Linked DNA regions of Arabidopsis thaliana. The protein of the gene in region 1 interacts with the protein of each later gene in a pairwise test. Each region holds a gene or a part of one and is shown in the gene's direction. Other genes may lie near its edges.

What was found. The genes of interacting proteins can lie anywhere in the genome.
Region 2: the proteins of ARF18 (region 1) and IAA18 interact in binary tests that used the Arabidopsis thaliana proteins (3 or more experiments, as listed by UniProt).
Region 3: the proteins of ARF18 (region 1) and IAA33 interact in binary tests that used the Arabidopsis thaliana proteins (3 or more experiments, as listed by UniProt).

The regions. Positions count from the first base shown.
Region 1 is NC_003074.8:22,885,492-22,892,549, forward strand, and holds ARF18 (auxin response factor 18), read left to right. Parts: upstream 1-2,397; 5' UTR 2,398-2,679; coding exon 2,680-2,725; intron 2,726-2,776; exon of another isoform or gene 2,777-2,996; coding exon 2,997-3,112; intron 3,113-3,195; coding exon 3,196-3,294; intron 3,295-3,364; coding exon 3,365-3,421; intron 3,422-3,512; coding exon 3,513-3,665; intron 3,666-3,743; coding exon 3,744-3,828; intron 3,829-3,915; coding exon 3,916-4,006; intron 4,007-4,085; coding exon 4,086-4,250; intron 4,251-4,340; coding exon 4,341-4,454; intron 4,455-4,526; coding exon 4,527-4,599; intron 4,600-4,687; coding exon 4,688-5,167; intron 5,168-5,248; coding exon 5,249-5,436; intron 5,437-5,546; coding exon 5,547-5,688; 3' UTR 5,689-5,964; downstream 5,965-7,058. Other genes in the region: AT3G61826 (uncharacterized protein), read right to left, coding at 1,140-1,232; AT3G61829 (uncharacterized protein), read right to left, coding at 1,700-1,831; AT3G61840 (auxin response factor, putative (DUF688)), read left to right, coding at 7,055-7,058. UniProt on the Arabidopsis thaliana protein: Auxin response factors (ARFs) are transcriptional factors that bind specifically to the DNA sequence 5'-TGTCTC-3' found in the auxin-responsive promoter elements (AuxREs). Could act as transcriptional activator or repressor.
Region 2 is NC_003070.9:19,302,518-19,308,018, forward strand, and holds IAA18 (indole-3-acetic acid inducible 18), read left to right. Parts: upstream 1-2,563; 5' UTR 2,564-3,152; coding exon 3,153-3,424; intron 3,425-3,700; coding exon 3,701-3,996; intron 3,997-4,079; coding exon 4,080-4,212; intron 4,213-4,415; coding exon 4,416-4,483; intron 4,484-4,578; coding exon 4,579-4,613; 3' UTR 4,614-5,001; downstream 5,002-5,501. UniProt on the Arabidopsis thaliana protein: Aux/IAA proteins are short-lived transcriptional factors that function as repressors of early auxin response genes at low auxin concentrations.
Region 3 is NC_003076.8:23,267,662-23,271,592, forward strand, and holds IAA33 (indole-3-acetic acid inducible 33), read left to right. Parts: upstream 1-2,252; 5' UTR 2,253-2,362; coding exon 2,363-2,799; intron 2,800-3,219; coding exon 3,220-3,298; 3' UTR 3,299-3,431; downstream 3,432-3,931. Other genes in the region: GS1 (Haloacid dehalogenase-like hydrolase (HAD) superfamily protein), read right to left, coding at 3,857-3,931. UniProt on the Arabidopsis thaliana protein: Aux/IAA proteins are short-lived transcriptional factors that function as repressors of early auxin response genes at low auxin concentrations.

The DNA.
Region 1 (7,058 bases):
TACTTAACTAATGTATAGTTATTTATTCCCATCCATGCGTTCATATTCACTTTGAATGATCATATTCGTAATCCTATTTATTTATTTTACTATTTGAACCTTTTGTGTGTATAAATAATTTCAACTAGAGAGAATATCCGCAGCAGCTCGTTAAATTAGTCATTGAATTAAAAAAAGATATTCAAATTTTCACCCAAGAAAAACGAACGCAACTAAAATGACGTTCAAATTTGGCATCATCTTTAGGTGTATATTATTGTGAGAGATATGCAAGCATGAAATCTCATGCAGGATAAGAATCATTGTTAAATTTATTTTAATTCCGTTATATTTATGGTAATATCATCCTATTACCTTTTCTAAAATTATGTTTCACTCTTTAGTTCAACCTTTGGTGATGAAATTCGATTCTTTCATATCTCGTCTCCGCTTTGCAAGGATTTGTCCGTACAATAATCATATGCACTATTTTAATTATTTTTTTGTTGGGTGGGATTCAAAAAAGTTTTTTTTACCCCTCTATCAGCTAGTTAGAGAAGTGAGACTATATATGATTCCAATCAATAATACATCACATCTATATTTCGTCTTGTAACGCGGCCACATAATCTTCATCAACGAAGCTTGAATGTTGTAATAGTGTTTCACTATCAACAACACACATTTGTAGGCCTTATGTAATTAGCGAGAGAACTCTACAGTCTACACTATAACTTTGAGTGGAAATAAATACTCGTATATGGTAACATAAAAATACTATGAACTTATGATTATACAAACTTGTAAGTAAAAAAGAGTGGTAAGGCTATGTAATATCGTCGACGTTTTCTAGGTAAATCTTAAGCTATAAAAAAGATTTTGAAACCCAAATAGTATCGAGTGATAGCATTAGTCTCATCGGGTGGTTACAAGCCAACATTGATTCGTGTTGCAAATTTTATTAAATACAAGGGTGTACACAAATCAAAACGCAATAATATTTTTGGATCATAGTCTTTCTTCACTATCATTGGGAAAAATAAAATAAAATAAGAAAAATAGCGATAGAATTTCCTCTGTAAATGAGCAAAATTGGTAGGACAAGTCAGCATTTGACACGTGTCGGTCATGAATACGACTAAACAGCGTGGCAATTTCTCTTACTCTGACGTGTCCATGTGGGGACCACTTTCTCCTCCGACACTTCGGCATGGCTTTCTCAACTTTTTATCACTCTTCTTCACCATTCTCATTTACTAAGCGCGTGTCTCCCACCTCTATCCGATTTAATTTTTTAAATTTGACGTTTCAAAAGTTCCTTCTATAAAAGCAATTAACGATAATTATATGAAATCCGTAAACATGAATTTTTCAAATAATTTCGATTTTTGATTTGCTAAGATTAAAAGCGCGTGAAAGAAAAAAAAGAATACAGCATGAACACCAGCGACTCAGAACTGACTCGGCACGTGGTAACATAAAACTCACACGCTTCCCAAGACGCTCGTCCCATAAAGAGTCATGGCTGTGACCTTGTGCGAGTGTGGGTGTAGCCATAGCCTTTGTGGGTCCTAAATAAAAAAAACGATCAATGGCATAATGTGTAATTAACTCACATTCCACAGTGTTAAATAAAAATTAAATCTGTAACGGAAAAAACAATCTATCTGATGTTACACAAAAAAAAAAAATAACGGAAAAAAGAAAATGTGGCCGGGGTTTAATAGAGAAGCCGACACGTTTGCCTGCCACGATCCAGACACAAGACGATGTGGGTAACGGCACCGTCAAGTGCTAACGGCAACGGGGTCATCAGTAAAAAGGGCAATTTAGGGATATAGAGTAAAGTCATAAGCTTATTTATTACTATCGTCTTGATCGGACGGCTGAGATTTGCCCTCTCCTTTAAATGCACCGTACGTTTTTTTTTTACATAATAAAATGTAATTAGTTCATAAGCAATTCCCAAAACGCCGCGTGACCCTTCGTTTGCCTTTGAATACAATTTGTTTTATTTTAGCGCATTTAATATATTTGAGTTTCCTTTTTAGCGATGACATGATAAAACAAAAAACAACAATTTTAGAAAACATTTAATTAAATGAATAGAAAAATAGGGAGATTCAACTGAAGTTACTGTGGGTGGAAATGACAGGTCTCCAGGATCTGAACTAAGAGAAAGTCTCTCTATATTTTGATATATAGAGAGAGATAAAGAAGGAGAGAGTGTGAATATATGTATGTGCATGATACTGTGAGACTTCTTCAGTAAAGGAAGCAGCTTTGGTTTGCTGCGGATCGGGATAAAAACGGCGAGAAGTTTGTGATTGTTGAAGCAAAACAACACGGAATCTGAAAGGAAAGGAGAAGACAAAAAAAAAAAAAGATTTTAAGAGGAAGAGAGAGAGAGATCGGTTTCGTGGCTGACGGAAAAAAAAAGGGGAGAGATTTAGTTTTATCCAACAGTGCCTGAATTACGTTCTGCAATCAATACGGACATAACCGTCCGTTGTGTCCTGTTTATAAAGTTTTGCTTTTTTTATTTTCTCCATTGATGGGTCTTTTCTTTCTTCTCTCTCTCGTGTTTCTTTCATGGGGTTAAGACTAGTGTTTACCGCGTGAAGGTTTTTTTTTCTTTCTATTTTCTTTCATTTCCTCTCCTTCTACTTCTTCTTCTCCAGTTCTCATCTGGGTTCTTCAATGGCGAGTGTTGAAGGTGATGATGATTTCGGAAGTTCTTCGTCAAGTGAGTAGTAAAAGGCTGAGACTTTAGAAAGTTTTGTTTTTTTTTTTGTTTCTAACAGTGACTCTGTTTGGGGTTTTACTCTGTAGAATCAAAATCAGCTTTGTAAAGTTTCGATTTTTTTTTCTTTCATTTTCTCGGGAGACGAGCTTAGAAAGAAATAGAAAAAACCCCAACTTTCTTATTTTTCTCGTATAGCTTCAAAGTTCACATTTTTGTTATAGTTTTGCCGCGGAAATGTGACTGTTAGGGTTTTGTTGTTGTTTGATTTTAGGGTCTTATCAAGATCAACTATACACAGAGCTATGGAAAGTTTGTGCAGGTCCATTAGTGGAAGTTCCTCGTGCTCAAGAGAGAGTTTTCTACTTCCCTCAGGGTCACATGGAACAAGTATATACCCACCCAAAAATCATCTCTTTTTACCCCAATTTTTCTTTTTCCATTCTCTTTCTAAATTCTGGGTTTTTTTGCAGCTTGTGGCGTCAACTAATCAAGGAATCAATTCAGAAGAAATACCTGTTTTTGATCTTCCTCCAAAGATACTTTGTCGAGTTCTTGATGTCACTTTAAAGGTAAAGTTGGATCATAAATGTTAAAATGTTTTATTTCCCCTGAATCTGTTAACTAAATTTTGATTTATAGGCGGAGCATGAAACAGATGAGGTTTACGCTCAGATCACATTACAACCAGAGGAAGATGTAAGTTCTTAAAAAAAAAACTCAACTTTATTTCAGTGAGTGTTAATTTATATTGATTGGAATTGATTTCAATTTACTGTTTTGTTTGCAGCAAAGTGAACCAACAAGTCTTGATCCACCTATTGTTGGACCAACTAAGCAAGAGTTTCATTCGTTTGTTAAGATTTTAACGGCTTCAGATACAAGCACTCATGGTGGATTCTCTGTTCTTCGTAAACACGCCACTGAATGCTTGCCTTCTTTGGTAAATATATTCTTAAAGAAACCTTCTCAATTCAAGAAACTTTAGCTTGAATTCTCACTCCAATTTTACACTTTTTAGGATATGACACAAGCTACTCCTACTCAAGAACTTGTGACTAGAGATCTTCATGGCTTTGAATGGAGGTTTAAGCATATATTCAGAGGTATTGATTCTAATCTTGGTGTGTTTTTGTGAAACTGTGTTTGGACTAAATGAGACATTGACTCATTGAGTGCCGTTTTTGGTTTAGGACAACCACGGAGGCATTTGCTTACTACGGGTTGGAGTACATTTGTATCCTCGAAAAGACTTGTAGCTGGAGATGCTTTTGTGTTCTTGAGGTACTTTTGAAATTGAAACTTTATTCACTGGTCTTGTTTAGTTTCATGAACCTAAATGTAATGCCTTTGTGTTTTTCAGGGGTGAGAATGGGGATTTACGGGTTGGAGTGAGACGATTAGCTCGGCATCAAAGCACAATGCCTACTTCGGTTATTTCAAGTCAGAGCATGCATTTGGGAGTTCTTGCTACAGCTTCTCATGCTGTGCGTACAACAACAATCTTTGTTGTCTTTTACAAGCCTAGGTATATAGTAATGTTCTTTAGATGATTTTGCTTTATATACATAGATGGTTTAGGACTCTTTGATTGAAGAAAAGTTTTCTCTCTTTGCAGGATAAGCCAATTCATAGTTGGGGTGAACAAGTATATGGAAGCTATAAAGCATGGATTTTCTCTCGGTACCCGATTCAGAATGAGGTTTGAAGGAGAAGAGTCTCCTGAGAGAATGTAAGAATCCATTTTCTCTGATCATTTCTTTTTTGTCAGTGTTCTTGATTCTGAAACCTGGAACGTCTTCAGATTTACTGGTACGATTGTGGGAAGTGGAGATCTATCTTCACAATGGCCAGCTTCTAAATGGAGGTCATTGCAGGTTCAGTTAACCATTCCACGTTCTTACATTTTAGTGTTTTACTTATTACGTGGTCTTTATATAACGTTTTTGTCTTGGTCTTTCTTAGGTACAATGGGATGAGCCAACAACAGTTCAGAGACCAGATAAAGTCTCACCATGGGAGATAGAGCCTTTCTTGGCAACTTCCCCAATTTCAACTCCTGCTCAACAACCACAATCGAAATGCAAGCGGTCAAGACCCATCGAGCCATCAGTTAAAACACCAGCCCCACCTAGTTTCTTGTACAGCCTCCCTCAGAGCCAAGATTCCATTAATGCATCCCTTAAACTGTTTCAAGATCCATCACTTGAGAGAATTTCAGGTGGATACTCCTCAAACAACAGCTTCAAACCCGAGACTCCTCCTCCTCCAACGAATTGTAGCTATAGGTTGTTTGGATTTGATCTCACAAGCAATTCTCCTGCTCCAATCCCTCAAGACAAGCAACCGATGGATACTTGTGGAGCTGCCAAGTGTCAAGAACCCATCACTCCAACCTCAATGAGTGAGCAGAAGAAGCAACAAACATCAAGAAGTCGAACTAAAGTAATTTTCTTTATCAACTCATATAATAACATAGCAACAATGTTTTGAAAATCTGATTTCTTTGATCTTGGATTGAAAAAGGTGCAAATGCAAGGCATTGCGGTTGGTCGTGCGGTTGATTTAACACTGTTGAAATCTTACGATGAACTGATTGATGAGCTTGAGGAGATGTTTGAGATTCAAGGACAGCTTCTTGCCCGAGACAAATGGATCGTTGTCTTCACTGATGATGAAGGAGATATGATGCTTGCTGGTGATGATCCGTGGAAGTAAGTTCTAAAATAACAGAGTTAAACATTTCCGGTTTAGCTCAAATCAGTTAAATGTGAACTTAAACCGGAACTGATTTTGCAATGTTCTGTTGTGTGGGATTGTGCAGTGAGTTTTGCAAGATGGCAAAGAAGATATTTATATATTCGAGCGATGAGGTTAAGAAAATGACAACGAAACTGAAGATTTCTTCGTCGTTAGAGAATGAGGAATATGGTAATGAATCATTCGAAAATCGTAGTAGGGGGTGAGAGTTTTAGCTGTTAATTAAGGTTAATTCGGCGACGTCGTTTTAGTGCGTAAGTGTCTAAAGACTTTTTTTTTAGTCTGTGTATATAAAGTCTTGTCCTCTTTTTCATGTCAATTTTTCAAGTTGGCGATTTAATATTTCGGTTTTGGGACAGTGGTTGATGGGGCGGTTTTACATCTTTTATGTGTATGTACTTGTTCCATAACCATTCAATTTTCAAAACCAAGTACATTCAATTAGTTATGGGTTCAAAGATTATATTTCTAATCAATAATTAAGGCTTAAAAAAAAAAAAACTACAGTATTAGAGAAGAATACAAAATACGTGAAGGCGTGGAAATCAACGCGGCGGGCATCATATGAAAGTCATGGAAAAGTAAAGGAGTCAAACGACTAGTTAAGATTCTCTTTTGGAGTTGGTAAAAATATTTGTGGATTAATGAACTTCTAGGATATAGTGTTATTAGAAAATTGAACTGAAATCGAAAAAAATGAAAACTAAACTTTGGAAGTTCATGTTATCGTGCCAAAAATAAGTCTCCATGATGTTCTCTATAAAAATTCTTAAGTTTTAATTTCCAAACCTTTTAGCTGCATCAGATTTTTCTTTAATAAAATGCAAATGACAAAAGAAAGAAAATCTATTTTGTTTTCGGATAAAGTCACATATGAAGTGTATACTGTAGTTGATATTTGTCAAAAAAAAAAATATTGTTTTAAACTTTTAATTCAGATTTGCCTTATAATGAAGAAGAAAACAATACAATTATTTTCAAACTTAGTATTGGTTTGGTGGTGGTTATGTACTTATGTAGTATGGAGCAACTGTTTTTTTTTTGCTAAAGATTAATTGTTTTTGGTATGGAGAAATTGTTTTACTTTGACAAAAACCAAAAAAGCCTCAAGCTAACTAAACTGAATAGATTTTGGAGCTGTAGTATAGAAAAAAAAAAAAAACATTTTTCTGTTTGGATAAAAGATTTGTAAAAACATTTCTACCTTTATAAATGATATAAAGTTTCAGTCCGAACAAATCATACAAAACGAACATCCATAGGACCATCATACTCAAAGTATGAGCTACAAATATCGTACTCCATTAATATAAAATCAAACAAAACTTAAATTTTCATACATATACTAAGAAATTAATAGGTGACAGAAAACAAAATTAAACACGATCGTAGTTTTAGTTGTAGTCGAATTAAATCTGACTAATTTTCCTCAACCAAAGAGTACGGGTTTGACTTTCAGTTCGAGGAATGGTTATAGTTAAACAGCGTTGCATCTTCAATGACAATTACATATATTTAATCCATTGTCTTCTTCTTCAAACGAATCATAATAAGCAGAAACAAGAAAGAGATATGG
Region 2 (5,501 bases), on another chromosome or scaffold:
ATTCGATAATCTTATTAGGTGGAGCCTTATCAAATACGACCCATGAAGATTGAAGAGTATCATTTATGATTTTACCACAACTATTGCTTTTTCCTCAGATTTGACATTAATTTCACGATTTGTTTTATTCCTTTTCACTTTCTTTTTTGGAGTCAGCTATCTTATTAATTGGTGTACGGTGATAATCATAGCCGTTGGTTGTGGTTTGTTTTGAGTTTCAACGGTTGGGATTGAAAGCTTATCAGGAGATCTAAAATCTGAAACTGTACAACTTTTGTCTACCGTCCAGATAGAGAGAAAAGTACTGTCAAAGTCAGAGAGAGATTCGGTCTCTAGTCTCTGTTTTACTCATCTATATTGCCACGTGTCTTCCATAAACAAAAAAGAAGATCATCAAAACGCGCGATCTACCAAACACTGTGTACACGTTTAATTACACAGTAATTACTAATCACAATAGGTGTTTCTTGTTAGACGGTTTAATAACTATAATTACATAGGGTTTAATTTAACACATGAATGATTTAAAATGGAGAAATTAAGGAACCGTGATTAAGGTTGTCTGTCAGTCTTTGTCTGCAGCATTGTAGCCGATGAAGGAAGAAATTTGGGAGTTTGGTAATATGGAGACAAGAAATGACCTCTGATAATCCCATTTTTATATTATAAAATTCCCAAAATACCCATCTTTACTTGACCAAAAACTCACAACGAGTTTGGTAATACGGAGACAAGATTTGACCTCTGATAATCTTGTTTGAAAATTCCCATATTACCCTTCCTTCCTTGACCAAAACTCTTACCCGACTCTTGGTTGGTTCGGCTTTTCCGTCATATCGGTCTCACACGTGGAAGAACCATGTCCGATGGTTCATTATTTTCAAAAGCTTACTCTTTTTTTTTTGGTGTGGCAAAAGCTTACTCTTTTAAATAAGATTGAGTTTTTTTTTTTGGTAACATACGCTTCTTGTGATTAAGTTCATTTAAAGCAACACAATAATTCTTGTGTTTTTTATTTGCATGTAAAGGTAGACACAAAACTCGAATCTAAAATCAATAATTTTATTTGTTTAGTGACTGATTTGAAAAAAACGCAGAATAAACTAACCTGATTAAAAAAAAAGAGAGTTTATATTGGAGCTTACTGAATTCTATCGATCTAAAGTATAAGATGACAAAAAATTCCTCGTATCATTTGGGTTTAAATATATGATGGGATGGTAAATGGTAATTAAAGCCAATAGTAATAATTTATAAAATAATAACGACAAAACGAAATAAAGGAAGAAAATTTGCAAGAATAACTAACAAAAACTTATAAATTAAGAAAGTAACACAAAACAAAAAAACAGATATACTCTCTATATTATATATAATAATGGTATATTTACCCATTTTTCTCCACCTCATTCTAAGTCCCTCCTTCTCTCTTCACCTCTCATCTCTTTTTCTTTCTTCTCTCAATCTTTTTTTTTTTTCTTTTTTTGTATCACATAACAAACAAACGAGAAGGACAAAATAGATTTTTCAGATACCACTTATGTTATCTGGTTGCTTGAGTTGCCAAGGTTGTATCTTAGGGTATAGTTTTTCTATACATCCAAAATAGTATAGTACAACATTTTATTTCTATCCAAAATAGTACATGTTTTTACTTACAAACACTATTTACTATTTTATAAATTCAAATCCGATTTTAAAAATTCAAACTATTTTGTATGTAGAAAAAATATAGGTTTTTTCTAATAAATTTTATAATTGGAATTTATTTTTTGGAAAAGATATATAACAAAAAAAAAACAAATAGGTGAAAAACTAAACTAAATGTTACTAAATCATTTTACCTCCAATTCAACACTAAAATTGTCTTTTCCTTATCCTTACATGCTATTTTCTTAATTTTTATATATATGGTACTATATTTTTAATTTGTTTGTCAAATATGGTTATTCAGCTAAATCACCCAATAGAGACTCAATAGAGACTGAGAGAGAGAAAAAGAAGGGTTTCTCGTAAAATCTCCAAATTCATTTGAACTTTCCCAAACATTGGAATATGTGTAAGTCCCATAGGAGTAGGACAGAGTCGATAGGGGTGTGATCCTAACATACCAGAGAAAGATCGTCGAATCCTCCATTTCTTTTTATGGCAACCATATTTTAATTATATACTACTATTTATTAATTTAATTGGGTGTGATTTTTACTTCGCGTAATATAAATATGCTTTTTCTACATTTTCCCAATAATTTTGTAAAAGTGTAAAGTCTCTACAAAAACATTGTTTAGTCCTCCTTTTTTGGTCTAAATATTTGTTTAGTCCTATATCCATATTTTGTGACACTACTAGTATTATAAAAACATAACAAATTCTCAAGTTACACTTCTCGTTTTGTTTGGGTCAACCACACAACACCACAAGTTTTACTTGTACAAAGTAATTGTTTGTTTATGTTTTTCTGTTGTATGTATTTTTTTTAATTGGTCAAAAGAAAATATGTTTTAAATAAAAAGGTGAAAAAAGGCCTATGGGATTGGAATAATAAGATAGAAAACAAAATAGCATGCTTTGCTTCCTCCACTAAACTTCCTTTAAGGGCAGAGAGAGAGATAAAAAGATTGATTGCGTGTGTTTCACACCAATAAATCCCTTTATTTTTATTTTTTGGTCTCCAAATTTACTAACTTCTAATAATTTCCAATTTTACCCCTTATTTTTCTTCCTTTGGTTTTAACCTATTCACTGCATTTCCTTGGTATAAAATCCAACTTCTTCTCCTTCAAGAATCTAGAGATAGAGAGAGAGAGAGAACACAAAGTGGGAAAAAAGATAAGAACCCACCATAAAGTTTTAACATTTTTCCCTTCAAAAGGCGAAAGCTTTTGATTTGTATAAAAGTCCCACTTAATCACCTCTCTAGCTTCTCATTCCATTTCCATCTCCTCTCTTTTGTTTTCTAAGTTGCTTCAAGAGTTTTGGATAGTGTAGCAGAGAGATTTTAACTAATGGGTTTATAAAATTTTGTTCTTTTGCGTGAACAAGTTGTCAACTTCTAGACAGATTTTCTTTTTGAAGTGTTTTCTTGTCGAAATTCTTCTTCTTTTGGTCAAAGAACGCAAGATTCTTCTGTAGTTCCTCTAAAAAAAATCCTAATGGAGGGTTATTCAAGAAACGGTGAAATCTCTCCGAAGCTGCTTGACTTGATGATTCCACAAGAGAGAAGAAATTGGTTTCACGATGAGAAAAACTCTGTTTTCAAAACAGAGGAGAAGAAGCTTGAGCTAAAGCTTGGACCACCTGGTGAAGAAGATGATGATGAATCGATGATAAGACACATGAAGAAAGAACCAAAAGACAAATCTATCCTCTCTCTCGCTGGCAAATACTTCTCTCCTTCTTCCACCAAAACCACATCCCATAAAAGGTTTTAAACTTCTCATCTCTTACTTTTTGTTTTTCTCTGTTTTGTATCCTTCTCACATGATGATATTCACTTGTTATTAGCCAATAAGGTCCCATCTATCTGCATAAACTTTGTTCTTGTCTGCTTAAGATTGGATCTCAAAACTTTTCATCTTTTTACCCTTTTCCCATCTGAAAGTTTCAGTCTTTTTACTGCCCTAGTTTTCCTCTGTTTTTAACCTTGAGATTGTTCTTGTCTTACTAACAAGTTTTGTTTTGATGCCTTTGTGTTTTAAAGAACTGCTCCTGGTCCAGTGGTGGGATGGCCTCCGGTTCGATCCTTCAGGAAGAATTTAGCTAGTGGAAGTTCTTCAAAGCTTGGAAATGACTCAACCACCTCCAATGGTGTTACCCTCAAGAACCAAAAGTGTGATGCTGCTGCTAAGACAACAGAACCAAAGAGACAAGGAGGCATGTTTGTGAAGATCAACATGTATGGTGTTCCCATTGGTCGTAAAGTTGATCTCAGTGCTCATAATAGCTATGAGCAGTTATCTTTCACAGTTGACAAGCTCTTCAGAGGTCTTCTTGCAGGTAAATTTGAAACCTTTGTCTCTCTATTGATTATGGTTAAAAAAGGGTTGAATTTTGAACTCTAATTGTTCTTATTTTATCAGCTCAAAGAGACTTTCCATCATCCATAGAAGATGAAAAACCAATCACTGGATTATTAGATGGGAATGGAGAATATACTCTTACATATGAAGACAATGAAGGAGACAAGATGCTTGTAGGAGATGTTCCATGGCAGTAAGAATCTTTTCTTTTCTTTTTCGTTTTTTTCTGAATCTGAGTCAGCTTTTTGTTCTATCTAAAGGAGAAGTATTAGATTCCTAGTCACATATTTATTATATCTTAATCACAGTTTGATTAATAACAAACTTAGTTTGGTTAAGCTATTAAAGATTGTGGACTTTTTGATCACTAAAATTGATTATTTCTTAAATTGTCAGAATGTTTGTGTCTTCGGTGAAGAGGCTGCGTGTGATTAAAACTTCTGAGATTTCTTCAGCATTAACATGTAAGTGTAGGATTTTAATAACATTTTTTAGTTGTTTTGGTGACTCTTTTAAGTGAAGTTCTTAGAATGTTTTTTTGTTGTTTTGAAATTTGCAGATGGAAATGGTAAGCAAGAGAAAATGAGAAGATGAAGAAAAAGATCTTTTACAGCTTTTAAAGAAGTAGAGAGATGTTATTAATTGCATTTTGCCTTTAAACTTTGATGAGTTTTTGGTCTTGGAAAAGTTTCTGATATAAGTCTGATGTACATTCTGGTTTGTTACATCTTCTTTTGGCTTTTGAGATATCATAGAGTTTTGTTGGAACTCAAAGACCAAACAGTGCAATGATGATTTTGGGGTCTTGAGTAAATTTACAAACCCTTTTAGGCATATTATAATAGTCTTCTGTTTTTAAGTTTTGGTAATGATTATTCACACTTGATCAACACTTTTAAGTAATGTAACTCTCCCTATGTCAGCAAAGCATCCTTTTCGAAAAACGGAGAAAAGAAACAATCTTTTTCTCTGCCAAAAAGCTCTTTAGCTTTTATTAAATCTATACTTAGGGTATCCGCTATTGTAATGAACTATGAGAGTGAAAGGTTTTAAAACATTGAACAACTTTTCTTTAAATGAGCTGTTAGGACAGATATTCAAACCATTGTCTAACCACATCTTTCATCTTTGTCTGGACTCTTGGGCAACAAAATTACAGACATCATTAGATTATCATCTTCTGATTATTGATCTACATATTTGATAATACTTGATATGATATAGTTTCTATGTATAATCATCTCTAAATTTATGTTTCTAGTTTAGCTTTTGTGTTTCGTAGAATAGATATATAAAATAAAGGGTTGTTCATAAGCATATGTATTCATACGATCAAATCGTTTAAAAGGAAAAAAGGAAGAAAAAATTGGTGGGTATGGAATATTGATAAAGAGAGTACAAAATAGAAAAATTGAAGAGAAGTCTTTTTCGTTGAGAGTCTTGCCTAACTATTCGAAGCAGCAATATGAGACCTTATAGTTA
Region 3 (3,931 bases), on another chromosome or scaffold:
CTTCCACCTCCGGCGAAAACGGCGGCGTGAGCAAACGATGAAACAGAGAATCAATTCACAGGAACAGATCTAATCTAAGCAGAGAGAGAGAGAGAGCGAAAACAAATTCAAAAATCAAAAATATCTGAAACGGAATGTTTCTGGAGAAGAGCGAAAATAAAAGTTTTTAAAACCTTTTTCACTTTGCTTTTTATTTCAGTAATAATAATCAAAAGGATTTGTTTTTGTGATAATGAGCTTTAAGGAAATGATCCTGTGAAGAGACACCTACTGGCTTCAGTGCTCCTCCACGTGATTTTGACGCGCCAACTGTTTAGGCTTTAAGAGAAGGAAGAATGTGGGCCCATACTGTTTTAATTGGGCCTATTAAGGCTTTATTGAGCTGATGTGTAAGGCCTGTTTAGACTTGTGCTAATGTTGGATGAGCATGACAAAATGATTATCATTGTTTGGTTAGAAACAGACCAAAACAGCGGGTAAGTGTTTGATTGTTATTTAAATTTTGATTATTATCGGGGAGTGGAATAAGCAAACATTAACGTATGTCTGTAGAATCGAAAAAAAACAAAAATCGAGACAAATTAATTAGATGATTAAATATAACATGTAGACGTAGTAATGTGTTAAACTATAGTCCTAAATTGAGATCTATGAAACCGAGGTAAGTTTTAAATATTTCCATGCCTCCATGTCGGATCTTCGAGTCTTCTAATTCGAATCCCGAGTTGAAATTTAAATGTATAGAGTAAATTATTGTTTGCTTCAAACTTAAGAAAATATGCTTCTTGTGCTTCGTTTTATGTCTTCTTGGGTTTGCTTTAGCTTATTCACCTATTGCTTGTTGGATCCACCGTTAATTTTTCATTTAATAGTCCATATGAAAATCAACATTTTAGCATAAAATTACAATTTTAGGCACAGTTATTTGACTCATACATGATTTACCTATACATTTGGTCACTCAACTTAATTATTTGCGATTTTAAAATCGTGTATAATGTTTTAAAATGACTTGAATTGGAATCAACTAATTTTAGGTAGCTCGAACAAACTTGTTATTTATTTATTTTCAGATAAGTTCCGTACACCAAAATCTATAACCGAAAAGACTTTGGATTATATTGTATGAGTTTAGAGTGCAATTCTTCTTTTTTTCCCTCTTTTTTGATCTAAGAAATTTCTAATTAAGTTCACATATTTTCTTGGATCTAATCACTCTAAACAACTCCTCCCAAATAACATGAGTTTTCATTATTATTAGAGGGGTGATGTCTACATTTTGGACCAAGGTCTAATACTTTGTTTTACTTTCGTCAAACCGAGTTAAATCCGAGAAGTATGAGATCAAACGTTAAACGTATTCATGTGTGTGTATGTGATGTTACATGGATAAATGGCTATGCATGTATATTCTATATGACGTTGATGTGTGGTCGTGTGGATATATGCGTGTGTTTACCGGTTAATACAATTTTTATATTCTTCGTATGTATGCTTGATGTGTGTATTAGTGTATGAAAAGAAAATGACGTGGAACTCCCGACCAGGCGCGAGTCAAGGAAGCGAGGCGTTCGGCGACGGCAGCGCGGTCGTCTCCGCAGCCCATGCGTTACAATTTACAAGATCTCTTTTTCTATGATACCTTCTTTCATTATTTAATTAATCACCAATTTATAATGTCTTTAATTAATTTGGAGTTTTCTAGCTAATTCACATTTCTTATTATATTGACTCTTTTTCACTGTTTTTATGTTTTCCCATCAGCTTTCTTTTTGTCCACGTAAACATTTCCAAACATTTTTATTTTAAAATTTCTTTATACTTGTATACATAAATACCTAATACCTTGCTGGTAATATATGGTCAAAATTAGTGAAACCTTGGAACATTTCCTGTAACAGCTCTTATTACTCTCACAGTCGCAGTGATAGATATATAGTAGAATAAGTTAGCAAAATACAATAATTGTAAAAACACATTTAATACATAAGCATGTGAGAACATTTTTACGTGAATCCAATTGTTCATTGAATAATTAAATATTAAATTGATTGTTAATTGAGGATTCATTGTCTAACGAGAAATCCAAAGAGCAGATGTACTTTCAAATTAAATGAAACATTTAAGACAACATTAAACCAAACGAAAATTGAAAAATGAAAAATAAAAGACACCTTTTTGTTTGCCACACAATTTACGCTTTCTCTATCTATTTATATGTACATACATTCACTTTCACCAGAATCTCATCAAACACACAGTCTCTCTCTAGCTTAACAAAAAAACACGAAACACTTTGAGTTCCATGTAAGCGTCCGTTGTCTTCTCTAAGTTACAAAAGCCCTAAAACCCTACTCTCAATATGAATAGTTTCGAGCCACAAAGCCAAGACTCTTTGCAAAGAAGGTTTCATCAAGACAACAGCACCACACAACAACCTCGTGACACCACGACACCTTTCATACCCAAACCGGCTTCCAAAAACCATAATAATAGCAACTCCAGCTCTGGAGCGGCCGGGAGATCATTCCAAGGCTTTGGGCTTAACGTAGAGGACGATCTTGTTTCATCGGTGGTTCCTCCGGTTACGGTTGTGCTAGAGGGACGTTCTATATGTCAACGCATAAGCCTAGACAAGCATGGGAGTTATCAGAGCTTGGCTTCGGCTCTAAGGCAAATGTTTGTCGATGGAGCTGATTCAACGGACGATCTTGATCTGTCAAACGCCATTCCTGGCCATCTTATTGCTTATGAAGACATGGAGAACGATCTCCTTCTTGCCGGAGATCTTACTTGGAAGTAATTTTCCTCCCCTAACATTAATTTTCTTTATTATTGTCAGGATGGCCATATATATACAAACTATATATAAAACGAGCCTTATTTTAAACATAGGAAAACTATATTAATTTTTTTTCCCCTAACGGTAAAATACTACAAACACAAGTTTTTCAAGCTGCCAAGAAAACACATGTTCTCTGCTTTTCTAAAAAGACAAATATCAATAATTTAGTGAAATGATATTTTGTTGCTATCCTTATTCTGTATACTCAATTTTGCTGGCTATAGTTATTTTGTTTGATACCGTTATATATCTTTCTTAAAAATTACGGTTTTCGTTCAATGTTTAGTATAATTAGATTTTGAAGGTTTCGTGATCTTTAACTGGCAATATTTTAATACTTGGACGTTAACGAGAAAATTTGCTTGTTGACACAGGGACTTTGTTCGTGTAGCGAAGAGAATTCGAATCTTGCCGGTCAAGGGAAACACAAGACAAGTTAAAAGAAACGAGTGAGGAGGAGAAAGACCGTTTTTGCAACGATGTCATACGATGTTTTGTAACAGCCGATGTCGGTTGAATCCTAATGGCATTACTGTAAAATCATCATTGGATGTGTTTGCTTCTTTGTTCACGTACGAAATGAAAAATAAAAAAAAAGTTGTAATACTAAATATAACCTATTTTTCTTAATTATAGTGTAAAACATGAAACGTTGCAGTAACAACACATGTTAGTGATGCGTAAAGAAGAGAGATTCCAAACCATAAAGAAGGAATCAATTCAGCTATACCGACAAGAACAAAATAAGATAAGCCAATGTTGAAACTTGTGGGTAAGAGTAGTTGTACAAAAATAATTTGTTTAAACGTTGAGGCAAATTTTTTTGTTTGGTCTCTCGTCATGTCACCACTTAGTTTCTTTTTATGTCTTCAATAGCCAGAAAATCATAGAACCCTTGACGACATAAAGCCTCATGGCCTTTGTCATGTACATGCCAAAACAATATAACAAGACAAAGAATAAGCTTCATGATTTGAGTTTTTATCATTACCTTGAAGACGTTTGTATCGTTTAGTTCGAATCTTCGAATGGAGGCAAGCCCCACTCTTCCGGTTTAAAATCGACTAGAGAGGTTATGATTTGATC